Stegostoma tigrinum: one gene and its partners. The protein of the gene in region 2 interacts with the protein of the main gene of each other region in a pairwise test. Links are inferred from orthologs where the notes say so. Each region holds a gene or a part of one and is shown on either strand. Other genes may lie near its edges. The genes, in order: olfm3a, stub1 and hspb1.

The links.
Region 1: the proteins of stub1 (region 2) and olfm3a interact in binary tests that used the Homo sapiens proteins (3 or more experiments, as listed by UniProt). The two-hybrid records come from large-scale screens. The link is inferred for Stegostoma tigrinum from reciprocal best matches to the Homo sapiens genes STUB1 and OLFM3.
Region 3: the proteins of stub1 (region 2) and hspb1 interact in binary tests that used the Homo sapiens proteins (3 or more experiments, as listed by UniProt). The link is inferred for Stegostoma tigrinum from reciprocal best matches to the Homo sapiens genes STUB1 and HSPB1.

The regions. Positions count from the first base shown.
Region 1 is NC_081361.1:103,514,577-103,521,885, reverse strand, and holds the start of olfm3a (noelin-3a), read right to left. Parts: upstream 3,020-7,309; 5' UTR 2,963-3,019; coding exon 2,894-2,962; intron 1-2,893.
Region 2 is NC_081376.1:48,038,474-48,045,886, forward strand, and holds the start of stub1 (E3 ubiquitin-protein ligase CHIP), read right to left. Parts: upstream 3,053-7,413; 5' UTR 2,673-3,052; coding exon 2,559-2,672; intron 1-2,558. Other genes in the region: uncharacterized protein zgc:112496, read left to right, coding at 4,399-4,541, 6,088-6,181. UniProt on the Homo sapiens protein: E3 ubiquitin-protein ligase which targets misfolded chaperone substrates towards proteasomal degradation.
Region 3 is NC_081380.1:6,802,334-6,810,103, forward strand, and holds the start of hspb1 (heat shock protein beta-1), read left to right. Parts: upstream 1-4,734; 5' UTR 4,735-4,959; coding exon 4,960-5,320; intron 5,321-7,770. UniProt on the Homo sapiens protein: Small heat shock protein which functions as a molecular chaperone probably maintaining denatured proteins in a folding-competent state. Plays a role in stress resistance and actin organization.

The DNA of each region.
Region 1 (7,309 bases), on a different chromosome or scaffold from region 2:
TAGTTAATCAAAGGGTTGGATCGCCAGTGGTGAGAATTTTGGGGATAACTTTCAGTCATTAGGGAAAAGGATAGGGGTAGTAGAGAAGTTGTGTCTAAATTGGAGAAAGACCAATTTCAATAATGTGATAGGATCTGGTAAACATTGACTGGGAACAGCTATTTGCAGGTAGGTCAAATTTGGAAAGCCTTTTGAAAGTAGTCTCGTGAGATTTCCAGGGCCAGTGTGCTTCTCTAAAAGCAAAGGACAAGGCCAGCAAATCCAGGGAACCCTGGATGTTAGGGGACATAGAGAATTTGTTTAAAAAAAAAGGAACAATATGTCAGGCACAGTGGTATTTAAAACTTATAGAGTGTAGCAGTTGCTTATAAAAGAAATTAAGAATACAAAGAAGGGCTACAAAACATCTTTGGCAAATAAAATTAAGGAAAACCCAAGACATTTTACAATTATTTTAGGAGTAAGAGGATAACCAGGAAAAGAGTGGGGCCTATTAGAGAACAAAGCAGCAATCTGTGTGTGGAACCAATGGACATCAGGGAGGTCTTAAATTAATATTTCTCATCTGTGTTCACAAAGGCGAAAGACATTTTGACCTGGGATTTCGGTTGGGATGGTGAATCTCCAGGAAGTGTTAACTTTAATAATAAGGATGTACATAAATCACCAGGGCCTGAGAAGATGTATCCCAGGATGCTATGGGAGGCAATGGAGGAGATTGCTGGGGCCCTGGTGGAGATATTTAATACTTTGCTGGACGTAGGTGAAGTGTCAGATGACTGGAGGATACCTAAGGCGGCTCCTTTGTTCAAGGTAATTACAGGCCAGTTAGTCTGATGTCAATGGTTCGGAAATTGTTGGAAAAAGTTGAACCCTGGTCCTTCTAAACTCCCAGTACAGGCACTGAATCCTCAAACAGTGCAGAACCTTTGCAAGAAAAACGCATTCTCCCCATAGTCTGCTGCTCTTTGTGTCTCATCTTCAACCAACCTGGACCTTTGTACTGCTCCAACTCTGGACTTTTCAGCCACCCCACCCTCCCCTCGTTGGCTGTTCTCCTGAACGTCCCTGGACCTGAGCCGATGTTCAGACATCTGAACCTGGTATCCTTTGCTTGTTTTCCGTTGTTTTCTTTTGTGATAATGTTCCTTTGACACAGATTCGGATGTTATCATACTCAATAAGTGCATGTTCTTGTTGTTAAACAATTCACCAGGGTCAGGAACATCACCAAACCTGAATCTTTAATTTACAGCCTCTGGTTGGATGGGAAATGAAGGCCCCATTGTCGCCAGTTAGAAACAGGGAGAAATCTTTGAAAATAAAAATCATAGAATCGCAGATTTGTTACCCCGGGGGAGGCCATTCGTCCCATTGTACCAGCACTCGCTTTTCAAACCAGCACCATTCCCACGGGGCAATCCCCTTGGACACGATTTCCACCCTGATCATCCCCGGATGCCAGCACACCCCCAAACCCTACCCTCTCCCCAGCCCCCGAATGCCTCAACGTCCGTTTCTTTGGGGTTAAAGATTTGTGTGTGGGTATCAGGCTGAAAGAGGGTCCACCCGGGTCCACCTGGCTCTGGGGCTCTCTCCCTCACTCCCGCTGAGAACCCCGCACTCTCTGGGCAATACTGAAAAACACGAACGTTTTCTCCGGTCAACATTACTGGAATTATTTAAATCATCCTGTCATCCACCAGATGATGAGTCTGTATTTCAGATAAAGCCAGAACAATCGGAATAAAGTGGGGTGGGGTGGGGAGGGGTGGTGTCCTGTCGGATGTAAATCAGACAACACAGATTGATACCCACAGAGACACAGAGGGACAGAGAGAGAGAGAGAGATAGACACATACCCATAGAGGGAGAGACACAGAGAGAGAGAGACACAGAGCCAGAGGGACAGGGGGAGAGAGAGTGACTGGGAGAGATACACACAGGGAGAGTGACACAGATACACACAGGGAGAGACACAGTGAGAGAGAAACAGACTTCCAAAGGGAAATACAGCCGGACACAGAGGGACACAAGACACCTACACACCCAACACATGCAGGTACATACAGAAACTGAGAAACACTCACTGTCACACATACACAGACACACACAGACATAGATACAGAGACATACACAGACTCGCACACAGATCCACTCCCAGACCCACACACACTCACTCACAGACTCAGACCCACACACAGATACACACACACAGACCCACAGACTCAGATGCACACACAGATCCACACACAGACACACACACACACAGACTCACAGACACAGACCCACACACGGATACACACATACAGACCCACAGACTCAGACAGACACACAGATCCACACACACACACACACACACACACACACACAGACCCACACACAGACCCACACACACAGACTCACAGACACAGACCCACAAACAGATACATACACAAACACACACAGACTCAGACACACACACAGACTCACACTTACAGTCACACACACAGACACAAACAGACTCTCTCACTCAGACACACACATAGACACACAGACACAGACACTCACAGACACACTCAGATGCACACACACACACACACACACACACACAGACACACACTCAGACACACACAAACACACTCACAGACACACACAGACACACACATACACTCACAAACACACTCGCAGACACACACACAGACACTCACAGACACAGACACACAGACACAGACACACAGATACTCACAGACACACTCAGACACACAGACACACTCACAGACACACAGACACTCACAGACACACACTCACAGGCACAGATACTCAGACACACACAGACACACTCACAGACACACAGGGTAATACAGCACTGGGGGAGATCTCACTCCGTGCCGCCACCGCTGTGGTCACTTACCCGGGACCCATCAAAGCCCACCAGGACCAGCAGGAGCCCGGCTCGCCAGCATGCAGCCCGTATCCGCATCTTGAGCTTGGCTCAGCCGAGCGTATCCGCCTTAACCGGTCAGTGCCAGTCCCCAATCCCCCCCCCCCCCTCGCTCGGTCAGTGCCAGTTCCCCCCACCCTCCGCTCGGTCAGTGCCAGTCCCCACCCCCCACCCCCCCCCCCCGCTCGGTCAGTGCCAGTCCCCAATCCCCCCCCCCCCCGCTCGGTCAGTGCCAGTCCCCAATCCACCCCCCCCCGCTCGGTCAGTGCCAGTCCCCAATCCCCCACCCCCCGCTCGGTCAGTGCCAGTCCCCAATCCCCCCCCCCGCTCGGTCAGTGCCAGTCCCCAATCCACCCCCCCCCCCCCGCTCGGTCAGTGCCAGTCCCCAATCCCCCCCCCCCACCGCTCGGTCAGTGCCAGTAGTTCTCTGTCTTATTTCTCTTTCTTTCTGTTGAGTTTTCTCCCTCACTCTCTGGGTTTGCTCTGTCTCTCTCCCTCCTCTGTGTCTACATTACTCTGTGTGTGTGTGTCTCTGTCTCCCTGTCTGTCCCTCTCTCTCTGACACCCCCTCCCACCCGTCTCTCTCTCTCTCTCTCTGTCTGTATCTCTCTGTCTCTGTGAATCACATCCCCAGTTCCTGCCTCTCCCTCTCCCAGTCTCACCGCCCCTGTCTTCTCACGCTCCAACCAGACGTAGCGCTGGACTCAGCCTAAATCCTGATCCTTAACTGTTGAAGAACTTTTGACCCGACCGCAGGGAATGTTTGCAGATGATCCATCCAGGCGAGTTGTGAGCCCAGGATCAGAGAGAGCAGTTTAGGAAAAATGGGATCGAATTTCCGCCAGGTTTGAGCGGGCTACAGATCTGCCCATATGGAAACTGGACCGAAAATAATCCAAACAGGCATCAGTGCTTGAGTACAATTATCTTGCCTTTTAGCAGAAATATTCAGATTTTAAATAATTTTACTCCCGAGTTTGACACAAAAGAAGAACGGAGGGGTGACATTATAGAGGTTTATAAAATCTAGAGGCTCATAGATAGGGTAAATAGATAAGGTATTTTCCCTGGGGCGGGGGAGTCCAAAACTAGGGAGGGCATTGGTTTAACGTGAGAGAGAAAAGATTTAAAAATGACCTGTGGCATGCACAACTGCAACATTTAAAAGGCATCGGATGGGCGTATAAATAAGAAGGGTTTAGAGGCATATAGGCTAAATGCTGGCAAATGGAACTAGGTCAGCTTGGGATGGTCTGCTGTGTACAGAAGAGTTGGATGGAAGGGTCTGTGTGCTGCATGACTCTATAACTGTTAGTGCTGGACATCTGAGATAGACAGAGAATGCTGAAGAAACTCAGCAGGCCTGGCAGCAACAGTGGAGAGAGAAACAGAGTTAATGTTTCAGGTCCAATGACTTCTTCAGAACTCAATGGTCTCTGACCTTTAAAATGTTAACTGTTTCTCTCTCCGCTGAAGCTGCCAGACCTGCTGAGCTTCTCCAGCATTCTCGATCTGTCTCAGATTTCCAGCACCAATAATTCTTTTGGACCAAATCAAGTCTGGCATGTGGGGAGCTTTTAAAGACCAGTTGATTAAAGTGCGGGACATGCATGTCCCTGCAAAACTGAAGGGTAGGAATGGCAGGATCCAGGAACCATGGATGAGAAGGAAATTGTAAACTTAGTCAAAAGGAAGCATACTCTGGGTCTAGGCAGCTACAAACTGACCAACGCCTTGAGGAGTTTGGAGAAATTAAGAAAGAACTAGGAATTAGGAAGGCTAAAAGAGGCCATGAAATATCTTTAGCAAACAGGGTCAGAGAGAATCCCCAGGCTTTTATGCATATATTAGAAGAAAGTGGGTAGCAAGGGAAGGAGTAGACCCCCTCGAAGACAAAGGAGGGAACTTATATGTGGAGCAACAGGAAGTGAGTGAGATCCTTAATAAGTATTTTGTATCGGTATTCACTGAGGAGAAGGACGTGACTGATGTTGAAGTCAGGGGTGAATGTGTGAATACTCGAGAGAATATCAATATATTAAAGGAGGATGTTTTGGGTATCCTTAATTGCATTAAAGTAGACAAAACCCCAGACTCACATGCGACCTGGAACATAGAACATAGAACATAGCCCAGTACAAGCCCTTTGGCCCACTATGTTGTGCCAAACCTTTCACCTAAACCTAAGGTCTATCTGACCCCTACCTAATACTATCATCCATGTGCCTATCTAATAGTCACTTAAATGCCCCTAATGAGGCTGACTCCACTACCCTCTCCAGCAATGCATTCCATGCCCCGACCACTCTCTGAGTAAAAAACCTACCCCTGACATCTCCCCAAATCTACCTCCACTCACTTTAAAACTATGTCCCCCCATAATAGCTACCTCCACCCTGGGAAAAGGTCTCTGGCTGTCTACTCTAGTAATACCTCTGATCATTTTGTACACCTCTATCAAGCCACCAGTTAGTTAAATAAGAGAGGCAAGGGTTGAAATAAATGGGGCATTAGCAGATATCTTCACACCCTCTTTTACCACAGGCAAGGCTCCAGAGGACCGGAAATTAGCCAATGTTGTTCCCTTGTTTAAGAAAGGAAGCAGGATAATCCAGGGAATTACAGACCAGTGAGCCTGAAGTCTGTGGTGAGGAAGCTGTTGGTGAAGATACTCAGGGACAGGATATATGCACAGTTGGAAGAAAATTGACTAGTTAGTGACAGGCAGCATGGTTTTGTACAGGAAAGGTCATGTCGCACCAACCTGATTAATTATCTTTGATACCTCTTAAAAAATTCAATGAGGGGAGGGCTGTGGATGTAGTTTATATGGACTTTAGCGATGTATTTGATAAAGTGGCAGCTCGGTACAAACACACGGAATTCAGGGTGGGCTGGCTAGATGGATACAAAACTGGTTTGGTCACAGAAGACAGAGGATAGCGGTGGAACGGTGTTTTTCAGAATGGAGGCCAGTAACTAGTGGTGTCCCCAGGATCAGTTTTAGGTCCTCTGTTGTAGTAAACATAAATGATCTGGAGGAAAATGTGCATGGCCTGAATATTAAGTTTGCCGATGACATGAAGATTGGTGGAGTTGCTGATGGTGCTGATGATTGTGAAAGGATACAACAGGATATGGATGATGGGAAACTTGGGCACCGAAATGGCAGATGGAGTTTAATCCCGACAAATGTGAGGTGATGCATTTTGGAGGATCAAATTTAGGTGTGAATTACACTGTAAATGGCAGAACCCTTCGAAACATTAACATTCAGATGGATCTGAGTGTGCAGGTCCACAGTTCCCTAAAAGTGCTAACCAAGGTAGCCAAGGTGATTAAGAAAGCACACGGCGTGCTTGCCTTCATCGGCTGGGGCATGGAGTACAAGAGTTGGTAAAACATGTTGCAGTGATATAAAACCCTTGTTAGGCCACATTTGGAGTATTGTGTGCAGTTTTGGTCACCAAATTACAGAAGGATATTGAAGCTTTGGAGAGAGTACAGAGAAGGTTCACCAGGATGTTGCCTGGTCTCCAGGGCATTGGCAATGAGGAAAGGTTAAAAAGACTAGAGTGATAAAATGTGAGGCTGGATGAACACAGCAGGCCAAGCAGCATCTCAGGAGCACAAAAGCTGACGTTTCGGGCCTAGACCCTTCATCAGAGAGGGGGATGGGGAGAGGGAACTGGAATAAATAGGGAGAGAGGGGGAGGCGGACCGAAGATGGAGAGAAAAGAAGATAGGTGGAGAGGGTGTAGGTGGGGAGGTGGGGAGGGGATAGGTCAGTCCAGGGAAGACGGACAGGTCAAGGAGGTGGGATGAGGTTAGTAGGTAGCTGGGGGTGCGGCTGGGGGTGGGAGGAAGGGATGGGTGAGAGGAAGAACCGGTTAGGGAGGCAGAGACAGGTTGGACTGGTTTTGGGATGCAGTGGGTGGGGGGGAAGAGCTGGGCTGGTTGTGTGGTGCAGTGGGGGGAGGGGATGAACTGGGCTGGTTTAGGGATGCAGTGGGGGAAGGGGAGATTTTGAAACTGGTGAAGTCCACATTGATACCATATGGCTGCAGGGTTCCCAGGCGGAATATGAGTTGCTGTTCCTGCAACCTTCGGGTGGCATCATTGTGGCAGTGCAGGAGGCCCATGATGGACATGTCATCAAGAGAATGGGAGGGGGAGTGGAAATGGTTTGCGACTGGGAGGTGCAGTTGTTTGTTGCGAACTGAGCGGAGGTGTTCTGCAAAGCGGTCCCCAAGCCTCCGCTTGGTTTCCCCAATGTAGAGAAAGCCGCACCGGGTACAGTGGATGCAGTATACCACATTGGCAGATGTGCAGGTGAACCTCTGCTTAATGTGGAATGTCATCTTGGGGCCTGGGATGGGGGTGAGG
Region 2 (7,413 bases):
TTTTAATATAGTCCTATTATTCAATCCTCTGGAGCAAAAAAAATCCATAAGCGACCTATAACTCAAAAGGCAAAAGAAACATCTTCAAAACATTGACAAACTTTATGTCACTAATCTCTGGAGGGATAGGGTACAAAATAAAAAGAACCAGCTCGAATTCTGAACATCGAAACAGCAAAGTTTCAATATCATAGGGAAAGCAGAGCCAAAGAGATGCCAAAATATCAGTAAAAGAATTGAGCCATCAGAGTGTCTTCAAACATAGACTAACAGGAGTAAGAGGTGAAGGCACTGAACTATGAAAACAGTCAACACTGAATAACGAGGATCAATTCTTTCTGTTCTAAGAAAGAAAAATTGAATCACTCGCCAGAAATAAAGAAATACCATATTCATTGTCATATCTTGTGTGCTTTGTTTCAAATGCAATGATCTTGTAAAAATTGTTAAAAAAGGCAATCGACCACATTTAGCATCCAATGATCACACAGCCTAAAAGATTTACGTATCAAGGGTCTGCCAGCACAATGCCCCTTGACTGCATAATTCTATCAATTACCAACTCGTCTGACAGTCATGCATTGTGAGAAGGGTTCCATTACTGAATCATGTAGAAGTGATGCAAAATGAATTTTTTAAACTTTACTGTTGTGATCTTAAGCATAATGGTGCACTCGCACACGTGCGCACAATTACTGCAAGTGACTAGTTTTTTTTTAAAAGAAAGAGTAAAACACTTCAGTATTTACAGGACCAGAATAGCACTATACACAAGTATATAAGAGACAGGAACAGAACCGGGCCATTCTTCCCTTTAACCTGGTCTGCCATTCAATTAGATCTGCCAGATCTGATTGCAAACAATTCCACTTTCCTTCCTGATGACTTTTGACTCCCTTGGGGTCAAAAATCTGTCCAGCTCAACTGTCCAGCTTAACTATATTTAATAACAGTTTCCACTGCTCCACTGTGGTAGACAATTCCGGGGATTAATAACCCTTAGAAATGTAAATTATTTTCTATCTTGAATGACACACATCTGATTCTGAAACTCTGCCCCAAGTTCTAGTCACCCGTATGAGGGAAAAAAACACCCTCTTAGTATCTAACCTGAAAAGCCACTTCTGAATGTAAATCGAGAAAATCACCTTTCACCTTCTTAAATTCAAGTGGGTACAGGAGCCAACCTGCTCTATCTTACCTCACAAAACAAGCCCTTCATTCCAGGAATCAAATTAGAGAAGCTTCTCTAAACTGCTCACAATTTGCAAGCACATTCCTGGCAAAAGGGGCAGCACAGTGGCTAGCACTGCAGTCTTACAGCACCAGGGGCCCAGGTTCGATTTTACCCTCTGACGGCTGCGTGTGGAGTTTGCACATTCTCCCCGAGTCTGCGTGGGTTTCCTCCAGGTTTCCTCCCACAGTCCAAAGTTGTGCAGGTTAGATGGATTGGCCATGCTAAATTGCCCATAGTGTTCAGGGATGTTTAGGTTAGGTGTGTTAGATGTGGGAAATTAGGGGAATGGGTCTGGGTGGGATGTTGTTCGGAGGGGTTCTGTAGACTTGTTTTGCCAAATGGCCTGTTTCCACACTGTAGGGATTCTAAAACAGAGATCAAAAGTGCATTCATACTTAACTGCGGTACCACATATGTCCTATGCAGGAACAGCTAGACATTTTATACTTCAGCCCCTTGCAATAAATTCCAACATCCTATTTGAAACCTTAATTATCCACATGCCAACTTTTGTTAATCATGTCCAAGGGCACCCAGGTCTCTTTGTACGACACCATTCTATAGTCTCTCTCCATTTAAATAACATACTGCTTTTCTATTCTTCCCATCAAACAACACGTTTTTCCACCTTGTACTCCATCTACTAAACAGTTACCCAGTTATATGACCTATCTACAGTACATACTTTTCCAAACACTGATTCCTCCTCAGAGCTTTGCATTTTATACCAATACCACAATATCAAAATGGCTGAGTGTAAAAAGACACATACAGAAGTAAGAGCCTGTTACAATACTGTGATCTAATAATGCTTTCAACAGCATTATAAACAGCCAGGAACAACTTTAGGTAATTTCTGATCACACAGATTCCAAGATTCATCACTTAGACACAGACAGTCTTGTATACACAAGTCCTACGAATTGATGCAACAAGTTCATAGACGTATTTTCAAATAGTCATCTACTTTCTGATTCAGGTAATCCCTCTAGGCATACAAACGCACAGAATTAAACGCTTATATCTGCTGGATTTTGAGCCGTCGGCGTTGAGTCATATAGCTGCACCGAATAACCAGACCCTGAGATAACAAAGTGTAAAGCTGGATGGACACAGCAGGCCAAGCAGCATCTTAGAAGCAGACCCAGGGCATGACTGCTCATCCTGAAGGGTCACCTGAACCCTTTCGTTCTGGCGTTTGGCATTCGAAAATTATAAAGCAGGAGTGACAAAGCATAATGAATGAGGGGCATTTCATGAGCTCGGGGGGTGAAGAGGTTTTGTTCCGTGGCCTCTCCCCGGCACCGGCCGAGATACTCACAATAGCCTTGCTGTAGGAGGCCGCGGCTTCCTGATACTTTCTGCTGAGGAACAGGCGGTTTCCTTGCTCCTTCAGCTCCTGAGCAGTCAGGCTCTTCTCGGGGCTTCCGGACATGCTGCAGCTTTACCTCCCCCCGCACCCCGGGTGAAAGCAGGACACAGGGGGGAAAAGAGAGAGAGGGGGTGAAGTAAAACCCGGCTTCCCCGCAGCTGCTGGAAGGCCTGAGGGTGTAGGACAGTCCCCAGGCTGTGAGGGAGCGTGTGGGGAGTCCTAGGCCTAGGCCCAGTGGTCGGGGGAGGGGCGGCTGCGCTGATATGAGGAACCTCCGGGGGGAATGAGGCCGGCCTCAGGCGCTCAGAGGCGGGACACACCGGGCGAGGAGGAATCGGCCCGAGGAGCGGCGCCCGCTGTTTGTGTACAAACCGCACGCAACCGGCCGCGCACAACGGCGTCATCCGCCGCCGACGTGAGCGCGCCCGGTGACGGCATCTCCCGGCGCGGCGGGCGCCCGTGTCGTCCGCCGCCGCGTCCGCTGAACTCATCTCCTGGCGCCGCTACGGCCGAGTGAGCGATTCAGGACGCGACGGTAGCCGCCCCCGTGAAGCAGGACCGCCGCCATCTTGATAATGGAAATCTTCCTTTCCTCCCCATAACCGCTCCATCCCTCCGCCGCTGTGTGACCAGGATTGATACCATTAACTTATAAAGTCGGGGTAAATATTAACTAACCCAGAGAGTGGCGACTGTGATTGATTGACTGCCTGAGGAGGATGATAAGAATCAGGAACCCTCAGCACGTTGAAGACGTTTTGGGATGAACATTTGAAACGTTGGAGCACACAGGAACCTTTATTGGTGCGGGTGGTGTGTCCCCACCTCTGGGCCAGAAGTCCTGGCTTCGAGCCCCACCTGCTCCGGAGGTGCCTAATAACGTCTGTGAACAAGTTCAGATAAAAAAAAAATCTAGACGGCTAAGGACCAAGTGCGGGAAAATGGGATTAGAATGAACGAATGGATGGTTGTCTGATGACTAGCAGTGTTATGATGGGCTGAAGGGCCTTTTCCTCAAGCTGTTTACAATTCTACGATTTCTTTTTCACAGCGGGTCTTTGGAACTCTGCCAAAAAAACCGTGGCAGTAGAGTCCCTGAATATTGATTGTTTTCTTTAAATCATTATGGGATGTGGGCATTTATTGTCCACCCTTAATTGCTCAGAGGGCAGCTAGGAGTCAACCAGATTACTGTGGATTTGGAGTCACATGTAGTCTAGACCAGAAAAGGATGGAAATCTCCTTCCCTAAAGTGCATTAGCAAATCAGATGGGTTTTCCCACAACAATTGACAGTGGATTCATGGTCAACATTAGACTCATAATTCCAGATATTTATTGAATTCAAGTTCTAAAAGTCTGCATTGCTAGGAATCAAACCCAGGTCCCCAGGACCTTAGATAATAAAATGTGAGGCTGGATGAACACAGCAGGCCAAGCAGCATCTCAGGAGCACAAAAGCTGACGTTTCGGGCCTAGACCCTTCATCAGAGAGGTTAGGGTTAGGGTTAGGGACCTTACTTGGGTTTCCCTAGATTAACAGTCAAGTGATAACACCACTGGATCATTCCTTCCCACTTGGTGGTGAAATGTTGTCTTGGGGAGGTGGGTATGTGGAATGATCAAATCATATTGAATGTTCTATGGACTCAAGGCACTCAGTGACCTACTGCTTCTGATTTGTACATCCCTAAGGTTTGTGTTTCAAAAATGATTAGTGCAACAACATTTGTGCAGTTATAAATGTCATTTTTATTTGCAGGTTGAAACTGCTTAATGAATAAAGTAACATGACCGGACATGAAATATTGTTTAACTGCAAGAATCCTACCGTATGGAGGTCCATTTTTGCTCTCTATGGGGATGTGGTTGAAGCCAAGGCAATGGCATCCAAAGGGAAGAAAACAGGCAAACTGACTGCACTGGATAAATGGTGAGTTGTTTAGCTTTCTTCCCTAATTTAAAAGACAACAGCTCATGAATTACTTTTGGGGAAGGGCAAGTGGAGGGTTGACTAGAGACAACTCATATTGTAACGTTTATTTGAGTTCTTTGGGAAATTTAAGTACTTAGGCCTGAGACTAAGGATTGAATTTTCATAATGGGTTGAATGTCAGAGAATTTCCATATTTTCTAAGCCTGCCTCTTACCGGACAGTGCTCACCAGTGTTATATTCATCTATGCATACTTTAAGTTATAATTTTACAGCATAGCTGTGTCTTTGAGTGCATTTTTTCACGTGTTTTCACAGTGTACATTAGCTTGAGCCACAAAACAGCAATGAAACCATTAACCCTTAATTTTGACCTGGATTTATGGCTCTATTCTTTAGAGAAGTTGTTTAACAAGTAACCGCGATTAATCAGAATATCCTCGAGTGCTCAAATAATTAAAATTATTAAATTACTATTGAAAATTGACTCAATCCGGCACCAAGAATTGATTAGAGTCTGATCGTGATAGGAGTGACAGGGCAGCAGGGTGGCTCAGTGGTTAGCACTGCTGCCTCAGCGCTAGGGACCTGGGTTTGATTCTGTTCTCGGACAACTGTCTGCATGGAGTTTGCACAGCCTGCATGGATGTCCTCTAGGTGCTCTGGCTTGCTCCAACAGTCCAAAGATTTGCAGTTTAGTTGGATTCGTCATGCTAAAATTGCCCACAGTGTCCACGGACGTCTACGTTAGATGGATCAGCCATGGGAAATGCAGGGTTATTGGAGTAGAGTGGGGATTGAGTTTGGATGGGGTATTCTTTGCAGGGTTGGTGTAGACTCAATGGACTGAATAGACTCCTTCCATACTGTAGGCATTCTATGAGGGGAGTATGAACCTTTGTGTGGATGCAAACATGAGCTGCCTCAGTCAAAGTATTTTAAGAATGATACCTATGGGGAGGCTGGCATATGAGAACATTCGGAAAACTCAGCCAGGAGGTTATAAAGATGAAAGGTCAAAGATTCTGATGGTCACTCAGGGCAGCTTATAGTGTCAATACTATCAGACCTGGAGAAAATGTTCCCAGTCCTGGCCCATTGTTGTAAATGCTCTATTGCTTAAATCGAGCTTTTCTGAGCTCTATTTATTTTCCAAAGTTGCTGAGGCCCAGGAGATCCAGCCATCATTAGTTCACAATATAAAATCCATTAAAGTGCAGCTTCCATTTAACAGATTGTAATAATTGACTGATCTGAGGGTGAGTTGCAGTCTGTCATACTTGTTTTTGATAGATACAAATTTTTGATAAATGATACAAGCGAACAATTGAGTTTTGATGGTGTTGATTAAGGGAAGACTATTGGTCAGCAGACTGACAAAATACTCTAGTGCAATCAATGTATTAACTAATAGCTAGGATGTCATTTTAATAAAAATGCAAATGGTGTTTGGTCTGTAATAAGGAAATGAACAGGTTATTTAAAATGTTTGCTCACTCACATGTATTTATGAGCAATCTGGTTGCTGATTCTTCTCCAACTCAGGTATCAAGAAGAATTACCAGAAGCTCTCTGTAGTCGCAAAGAGAAATTCCTCACTCACGCAGAACTGGTTCAGTTGATGGAGTGGAAACTGACAGTAAGTCTGCCATGTAGGGTTGGATTTACATATTAAACACCAAGGTTGTTTCTGGATGTTTCTGTACCTCAAATTAGTATTCAAGGATGGGGATACTTATTTATCCCCTCCTCCATACTTGGTTCCTGGCCTGAGACTTACGCAGGCTGGGATCAAATCTGCTACTCCAGGGCTTTAGAGGAGCTCTCTTTCATGTTTAAATCCAGAAGACCAGCCCTTCCTTTTACAGAGGATCGGGGGAAGTCTTGTGGTGCAGTGAGTAGTGCTGTTGCACCATGACCAAAACAAGCCCTGGGTAAACAGTGTACATACAATAATACAGCATTTAAACTACACTAAATGCTATTGTTTAGAGTCATCCTGGAAGATATTGTTAATAATGTACAATTGCTGTCACAACAGTTGAAACAGACTCTGAATTATTTTAAAAATGAATTGGAGTTGGTTGTATGATGGCAATTAGTTTCTATTGAATAATTCAGTAGAACCTCTTTGGCAACTTTTCACACAGAGGATTGCTCGCATGTGGATTAAACTGCCAGTGGAAGTGGTGGGTGCAGGTACAGTTACAACATTTGTAATATATTTGGACAGGTACATGAGTAGAAAAGGTTTAGAGGTTTATGTGGGCCAAATGCAGGCAAGTGGGAAAGTTTTAGTTTGGGAAACTTGTTGTAAACTAATTGAACAAAAGGTCTGCTTCCATGGACTATGACTATCTGGGGTCCAAAGCTTCCCAGACTAAGTGGGTGTGAAATGCAAAACTGTGTTCTGTATCACTTTGTGGTTTGTTAGCCATGGGAAGAATTTAATAATTAACCTGCTAATCTATTCAACATGTCCGTGAAAAAGCAGGAATGCGTCCTAATCAATCATTCTTGAAGTGGGGTAGTGCACTTCAAGTTATAACCACTTGTCTCAGAATAGAGGGAGATACCCATTGTCCCTTTACAATTGTGAAAAGCTGCCATAATCTAATCAGACCATAAAGCTGCGCTCTCATTAGAGAGAGATGGTGGTTTAACGTGAGGACCACCACGCCTCAGTTGAGGAGAGATTTGAGAAGGGGAGTCCTTCATAGTGCAGGAATTAAACCCACACTGTTGGCATCACTTTGCATCACAAACTAGCTATCCAGCCAACTGAACTAACCAAGCCCTTTAGAGACTGTAACTGCTCACAGACAAAATAACAGAAATTCTTCCTTTGGTTTTTACCATTTCTGGTAAGAT
Region 3 (7,770 bases), on a different chromosome or scaffold from region 2:
GAGATCCAGGAGCCAATCAAATCCACCAAGAACCCGTTCATTTCCAAAGAGGTTTCCTGATGGCTAATTTGTACGACGATCTTGGTAAGCTCTCAAACGTGGAGAGTCAGACTGTTAACATGACGTTTAATGAGCAATAATAAGCGTCAATTTGGAACTCGCTGCTGCCTAGTGAGAATCTTGCCATACTGCTGTGTAAAGTCCATGAGATGCTGAGAGAAAACCTTGACACTGAGACGGGCATCACCAAGCTTCTGGCCTGATTCTCCCACTCACCTCTCCACAGCCCACACCACTCATACCCTGGTAAGATTACACCCAATGTTTCTATTACCCTTCCTGCCTCCACCCACCTCAATTAAATCCTCACGACTGCCTTATTTATTCTATGCTCTTGAGCCAGTTCGAGTGAAAGATGCTTGTTACTGTCCAAAGTGAAAGCTTTATTTGAGTCCAGTTCCTGTACTAGATATAACCCGCATTTAGAGTGATCCAAGTGTTCAATAAACTGAGCTTGTGATGCCCTCTTTTCCTATAAAAGCTGAGCATTGCTCATCTAATTCAATATCCCTCAGTTTCTATCAGGTCTGCCATGATCCAGAAAAATACTCCACTTTTTCACTTGGGCAAGGTCATTACTCCTGATTTCATTATTGAATGTATTAGTTAACAGCTAAATATACATTTCCTAGTTTTGGATAAATGGAAACATTATTACATCAAGAGAGATTGGAAGAACTGCAGATGCTGGAGTCAGAGATGACATAGCGTGGAGCTGGAAGAAGACAACAGGTCAGGCAACATCAGAGGAGCAGGAAAGTTGACATTTCGGATCAGAACCCTTCTTCAGAAAGGCCCCCGACCCGAAACATCAACTTTCCTGCTCCTCTGACATTACTACATCAACATTTCTTCCCTTTAAAGATCTTTATTCACTTCCTCCCCAAGAGTGTTGGACGAGGAGAGCGAACATTACCCCTACTAAATCCTTAATTCTGATTACAGAGGTTACCTTCTGCTTTCGGCTATCGCAGTCTCACACAGGGCTTCCACAAAGTTGGATCATCCTTCATAAGGGCCCTCAGGAATTGCTGGATGCCTGTCCCTTGCTGCTAACCACCCTCACTAATTATAGGCTGGGAACAACTCCAGCAACACATCAACCACATGCCTGGTCTGGTTGCTGGGCTACCACACATTGTTGATACATAAGCAAATAAATACATTTCTAATCAAGTGATAGAATGCCTCTCAGAGGAGTTACAAGAAAATGCAAAATTCCCCTACACAACATTCCAGAGTGTTGCAATGTCACTGGGCTAATAATCTATCAGCAGACTCACCGCCGCAATAGAATCGAGTTTGGGCCGGTGCGGTACCCAGTGGCGTCAGTGGTGTCTGCATTGGCAGGGTCCAGTGAGGCCTCATAGTGGTGAGGGTGTTGGTGGGTGCAAGACGGTGCCACAAACTGGCGACTTTTGTTCCAGGAGCAGCAACATGGCGAAGGCAACTCATGCCTGACTACCAGGCCCATGGCCCATGGCGGTGCGCTTAACAAGGAGGACTGTAAAGTTGAACACTTTTTCTCTATTTCTTTAGCTTTTCTACCTTTTATTCTATGTTTTGGTTTATTTGGCTGTGCATTAAGATTGCATTGAAGAGTGGTGACACTGTATTACACTTTTCACATTATTTGTAACAAAGTACATGCAAAAATAAATAAATCAAGCCAAATCCTAACTGCCCTCTGAAATGAAGAGGCAAACCATTCAGTTAAAAGGCAATGAGGGATGGGTGAAATGCCCACATTCCATGAAAAAGAATACAGAAGATTATCACACCAGTCCCAGATCCTGGAAGTGAATTTTCCAAGTGCATTGGCAGCTCACTCTCATTGCTCCGAATGGATCCTTTTCATGAGTAGATTTGTAATCACTAATTCAGGTGTAGTCTCTCTATGTAAGGTGGGGCTGCAGGCTGCAGAGGTAGTCAGGCCCACCTGGGATGTGAGTTTCAGCAGAGCCTGAGGCAGATGCATCTATAGTGCCACGGTAGCTGTCAGTCTAAGGGGACAGACCCTGAACAACAGGGTGATCAATCTGTTAACTCGCGTGTTACACAGGAGTTGACAGGCTTTTTCGCTCCCCGACCAGACAGCCGGTGTTACAGGTGACCAGCAGTGAAACAGATAGAGAGAGACAGCCCCAACAGATTTGGGGAAATAACACAAAGGCGGATTTGTAATAAAGTGGATGGCAGCCGTGATGACATGTCCAAAGTAATGACGGTCCAAGAATAAAGGATGTGACTTGGACACATGCATCGAAGCTGGGCCCAGATGATGTGTAGATAATTGCAGTAACATCTTGCCATTTGCCAAGATTATGTTCCTCAGAGACTTTGTGAGCAGTGTTTTGGTCAAAGACTGCATATTTTGCCAAATTCTTCACTAGGTGGAGCATTGCAGTCTACCAGAAGAAAGACAGTTGCATTACATCAATTGCAAAACTAAAAGTGTCTGAAATTCATTCCAGGTAGTGAGCAAGGAACCAGACCAAAACAATTTTTGACAGTATCTTTTCGACTTGTTGTAAGATCCATGAAGCACAGCAACAATCATTAACAGACTGTCCGCTTCTTGGCAATCTGCACTTTAGACTAGATTACCTTTGGGCTGCAGGTTTAACGTCACACTGCACCTGTATGGAGGCCAGGTGTTGACCAGTCACCAGGCATGCTGACTTGCAGTGAAAGTTACAGACTGATTATAACTGTTGCTGTATTCTCCTAGATCTTGCAACTAGTCTAAAATTGAATGCTGTGCCGGCATGACATTGTGGGAGTGACTGCGAACGCACAGACGGTGCTGCAGAGTAGAGACTATTGCTCCAGTAGCAGTGACACAGCGAAAGCAGCTCATGCCTAACTACCAGGCCCATGGTCCATGGCAGAGCACATAACAAGAAGGAAATGATTTTTGCATCGGGAATAGGCACTGCACTTCACTAGTCGTGAACATGACATTCCATGTGTGCACAGAGCAAGATGTATGAGCAGTGCAGACGGATATACTGCATAAAATGGTTGGCAGTGTTACATTATGCACAGTACGAGGTGCATGCGCAATGCAAAATGCGCTTGCAGTTATACGTGCTGTGTCTTACACGTTTAGTGCGAGTTACGTGTCCGTGTGTGAGCTATACGCAAATGCGAGGTTTTGCACTTTGGAAAAAAGAATACAGGCATGGACTATTTTCTAAATGGTGAGAAAATTCATAAAGCCGAAGTACAAAGGGACCTGGGAGTGCTGGTCCAGGATTCTCTAAAGGTTAACTTGCAGGTAGAGTCCGTAATTGAGAAAGTGAATGTAATGTTGTCATTTATCTCAAGAGGGTTGGAACATAAAAGCAGCGATGTGCTTCTGAGGCTTTATAAAGCTCTAGTTAGGCCCCACTTAGAATACTGTGTCCAATTTTGGGCCCCACACCTCAGGAATGACATACTAGCCCTGGAGCGTGTCCAGCGGAGATTCACACGGATGATCCCTGGAATGGTAGGTTTAACGTATGAAGAGCGGCTAAGGATCCTGGGATTGTACTCATTAGCGTTTAGAAGGTTGAGGGGAGATCTAATAGAAACTTACAAGATAATGTATGGTTTAGAAGGGGTGGACGCTGGGAAGTTGTTTCCATTAGGCGGGGAGACTAGGACACTTGGGCACTGCCTTAGAACTAGAGGGGGTAAATTTAAAACGGGAATGAGATGACATTTCTTCAGCCAGAGAGTGGTGGGCTTGTGGAATTCATTGCCACGGAGTGCAGTGGAGGCCAGGAAGTTAAATGCCTTCAAGACAGAGATTGATAAGTTCTTGATCTCACAGGGAATTAAGGGCTACGGGGAGAGTGCAGGGAAGTACATTCGAAATGCCCATCAGCCATGATTTAAATGGCGGAGTGGACTCGATGGGCCAAATGGCCTTACTTCCACTCCTATGTCTTATGGTCTATATGGGTAGCTCAGTGGCTAGCACTGCTACCTCACAGTGATACAGAGTGAGGATCAATTCCAGTCGTGGTTGACTGTCTGCATGGCATTTGCACATTCTCCTTGTGCTTTTACAGTCCAAAGATTTGCAGGTTAGGTGGATTGGCCGTGCTGTAGTGCCCAGGGATGTGCAGGTTATGTGGATTGGCCATGTTGTTGTGCCCAGGGATGTGCAGGTTAGGTGGATTGGCCATGCTGTAGTGCCCAGGGATGTGCAGGCTAGGTGGGTCAGCCAGGGTTACAGGGATAGGGGAGTAGGGAGGTTCTAGAGGATGTTCCTTGGAGGGCCGGTTTGGACTTGATGGACAGAATGGCCTGCTTTCGCACTATAGGGATTTTCTATGAGTTACAGGTGCAGTGCAATATGAGATGTTTGTGCACGGTGTATTTTCTGCCTGCAGGAAGTAAGTTTTCTTTTCATTTATTTTCTTTAAAAACCTGGAGAAGCCCAGATTGGGTGCAGAGTGGCCAGAATCGTACACACAGTCCGTTTGGGGACCGGATTTTACTCTAGCCCAGGGAGGGAAGTCGAAACCCAAACACCAACTTCCCAATCAGAGATTTTCAGAGCACAGAACGAGGTTGTTGGGCCCATCCTTACTGTGCTGGCCCTCTGCAAGTAAAGCAACTGAGCTCCTGGCGCTTTGTCCCGGGGTGTGTACATGGGTGCAAGAGGGAGTGTTGTGTCTAGTGTCAACAAGCTCATTTTCCAAACTCTGATCCAGACAATCGGAGAGACCATTCGGGAATCCTGGAGAGCTTGAATTCCGCACCAATGAGGGCAGACCCTGTAATCGGACTCGGCTGGAATCTGATTTAAATATAGCCCGGGATATAAAAGCAGCGCCGTGCCACACTTCTGGCCCAGCGTTAGCCCGGCTCTGCCTCTCTCTCTCTCTCTCCCCCGCTGCCGCGATGTCCGAGCGCCGCATCCCCTTCAGTTTCATGCGGAGCCCCAGCTGGGATCCGTTCCGGGACTGGCACTACCCCGGCCGGATCTTTGACCAGTTCTTCGGGATGCCAGCCTTGCCCCACGACTGGTCGGCCACCGACTGGCACGGCATGTGGCCGGGCTATTTCCGACCGTCCCTGGCGGCCCCGAGCGGGGCAGCGGCTCCTGCCAGCGGCCAGGACAGCGGCTTGAGCCGGCAGCAAAGTACAGGAGTGTCCGAGATCAAAGTGACCTCAGATAAGTGGAAAGTCAGCCTGGATGTCAACCACTTTGCCCCGGAAGAAATCACAGTCAAGACCAAGGATGGGTACGTGGAGATCACTGGTAAGCTCCCTCCAGATCTCTTCATTTGTAGTCTTGCTATTTCCAACTTTCCCCAAATACTTTTCAGAGCCCCTCATTGGGTTAGTCCCTGGGCCAAGAGTTTTGAGTCCCTGAATTCCATCACCACCCCACCCAACCTTCACTTTCCTGTTGGACTGGAGTTAGTGTAAAGCCCAGTTTTTAATTTTTCTTAAATTATATATTGTTTAGCCAGTCTGCTGTCGGGAAAGTCAGAGGGCCCAGGATTGCAAAACGAGGGTGTTCCTGGCCAACGGCCCAGAGCCCAGGGGAAATTACTTCGCTCAGCCCCTTGTGGGTGTTGGGATCTCAGTACTCGGAGAGTTGCATAGATTGGAGGCTTCTCTCGGGGAATCGAGGGGTATTGAGTGTGGCTGGGAAAGTGGATTTGAAGCCAGGGTTGTATTTAATGGCAAAACAGGCACGATGGGCCGAATGAGCTACTCCTCTCTACTTGTTGTGTTCTTCTGTGCCCAATTCTGCTCGCACCTCTTTCGGATGAATGTAACGTCTTACAGGAGTGGGCTTGGGGAAGGAAGATTTGTGAGAATGAATTGAGGGATGGAGGAGTAGTTTGATGCCCGAGGGAGGTTCAATCACGATGCCAAGGAAGCAGGTGTTAACCTGCAATATCCTTCTAATACGCCTTTAGCAGGCAGCAAGAGGGTGAAGATCTCCTTATCTGCTGTGCCTCATATGGAAGGGCATCTCTCAAAATTGCTTCTGGAGTGAGGCTGGTGACATGTTCTGGGAGGAACAAATCATGTAAATGGATTTTTGGGGATGTAGGTTTCACCAGTTGGACCAGTATTTATTGCTCGTCTCTAGTTCTCCTTCAGAATGGGAAAATCTGCGGGCCAGTTCACCTGGCTTTTGAAAATGCTGGAATATGTTATTAAGGGAGTGTGAACAATGTGCATGGCAAATCATAGTTCATAGACAAAGTAAACATAGTTTTATGAAAGGGACGGCATGTTTGACAACTAATTGGATATTTTGCCCATCTAACCAGCGGTGGGGAACCGGTAGATGTAGTGTACTGGGATGTGAGCTTCAATAAGGTACCACGCGTAAGGTGCTATTATGTAGGTGAGGGGTTTATGGAGTTGGGAGCAATAGGTATTCTAATGGTCAGATCGCCCTTGCTGAAGTCGAAATGGAAGTTGCATATCAAGGCCATGCAAAATTCTCAAGGCAGCTGGCTCCAAGGGAATTGCACTGGAACTTGGTATTATTATTGGCAAATTCCCTGCATCAAGATAATTCTGAAAAAGTCCCTTGAAGTCGAGAATTCAGAGGGTTCAAACTCCATAGGCCCACAGGTTATCCAGGAAAGTTTAGAGGATTAAAACTTGTTTTAATACCTGGGTAAATATTAATCTGAACTTCCTGACTATGCCCACCCCAACCCAACATTCACCCCCGTCACCAACTCCACCCCATCTGATCCAACACAGCTCCCTAACACAACCCCAACACCCGCATATGACCCAACAACACCACACTCCTTCCAATCTGACCAGATACCATCCATACCCACTGCCATAACACTTGCAGAGACACCAGAACCAAAATGCCTCTTCTTAACACAACCCCTCCTCCACGTGATCAAACACTCCACCTAATCCGATAACACCCTCAATGTTTCGACTTAATACCTTCCTACCCCTCAACTGATATCTCCCAGTCTGACCCAACATAACATCCCAGTCATTTTCCCAGCCCCAGCTCCAACCTGAACTGAAATGGCAATCTCTCCTAAGTACTCATCCTCCTGTGAGGCACTCCGGGACTCAATCTATCTGGCTTCTTTTTCAGCTTGCACATCTGGCATTTTACCCACTTCTTCCTCCCCTGGAACCCTACCTACCTGACCCTAACTAATCTGTGACTTTTCCCCATTACCCACCTGGCTCATGCCCCCCACTCACTGGGACTGGTCCCTCCTGCTGCCCCTTCAAGTATGTACTTACCTTTCACAGTAGATTTCAAAGTGCCTGCTGACCATTTAAAATGAAGACCAACGCATTAAGTGCTGCAGAAGGTGATGTAGTTTCAACAAAAACCCTTTGCACTTCGGGATTTGAGGCTTGCTTAGACTGGCTCATACCAAAAGGCTCTAGAACAGAAATCTCCAGGGCAGAAGTGGGCATTTTTAAAATTTGATCGGGGTTGGAAATAGGGTTTCTGTCTCTGACTGGGGTTGTGGTCAGATTTTTCAGCCTAACAGGAAACAGAGAGATGGATAAGACCTTTTCGAGATGGCAAGCTGGGACTAGTAGAGTATTGTTCATTGCTGAGCCTTATCAATTTACAATCTATATTTGTGACTAGATGAAGAGATTGAGATTAATGTATCTACACTTGCTGACAATACAAAGCTGGTTAGAAATGTAAACTGGAGGCAGCAGTGAGACTGCATTGGGAGACAG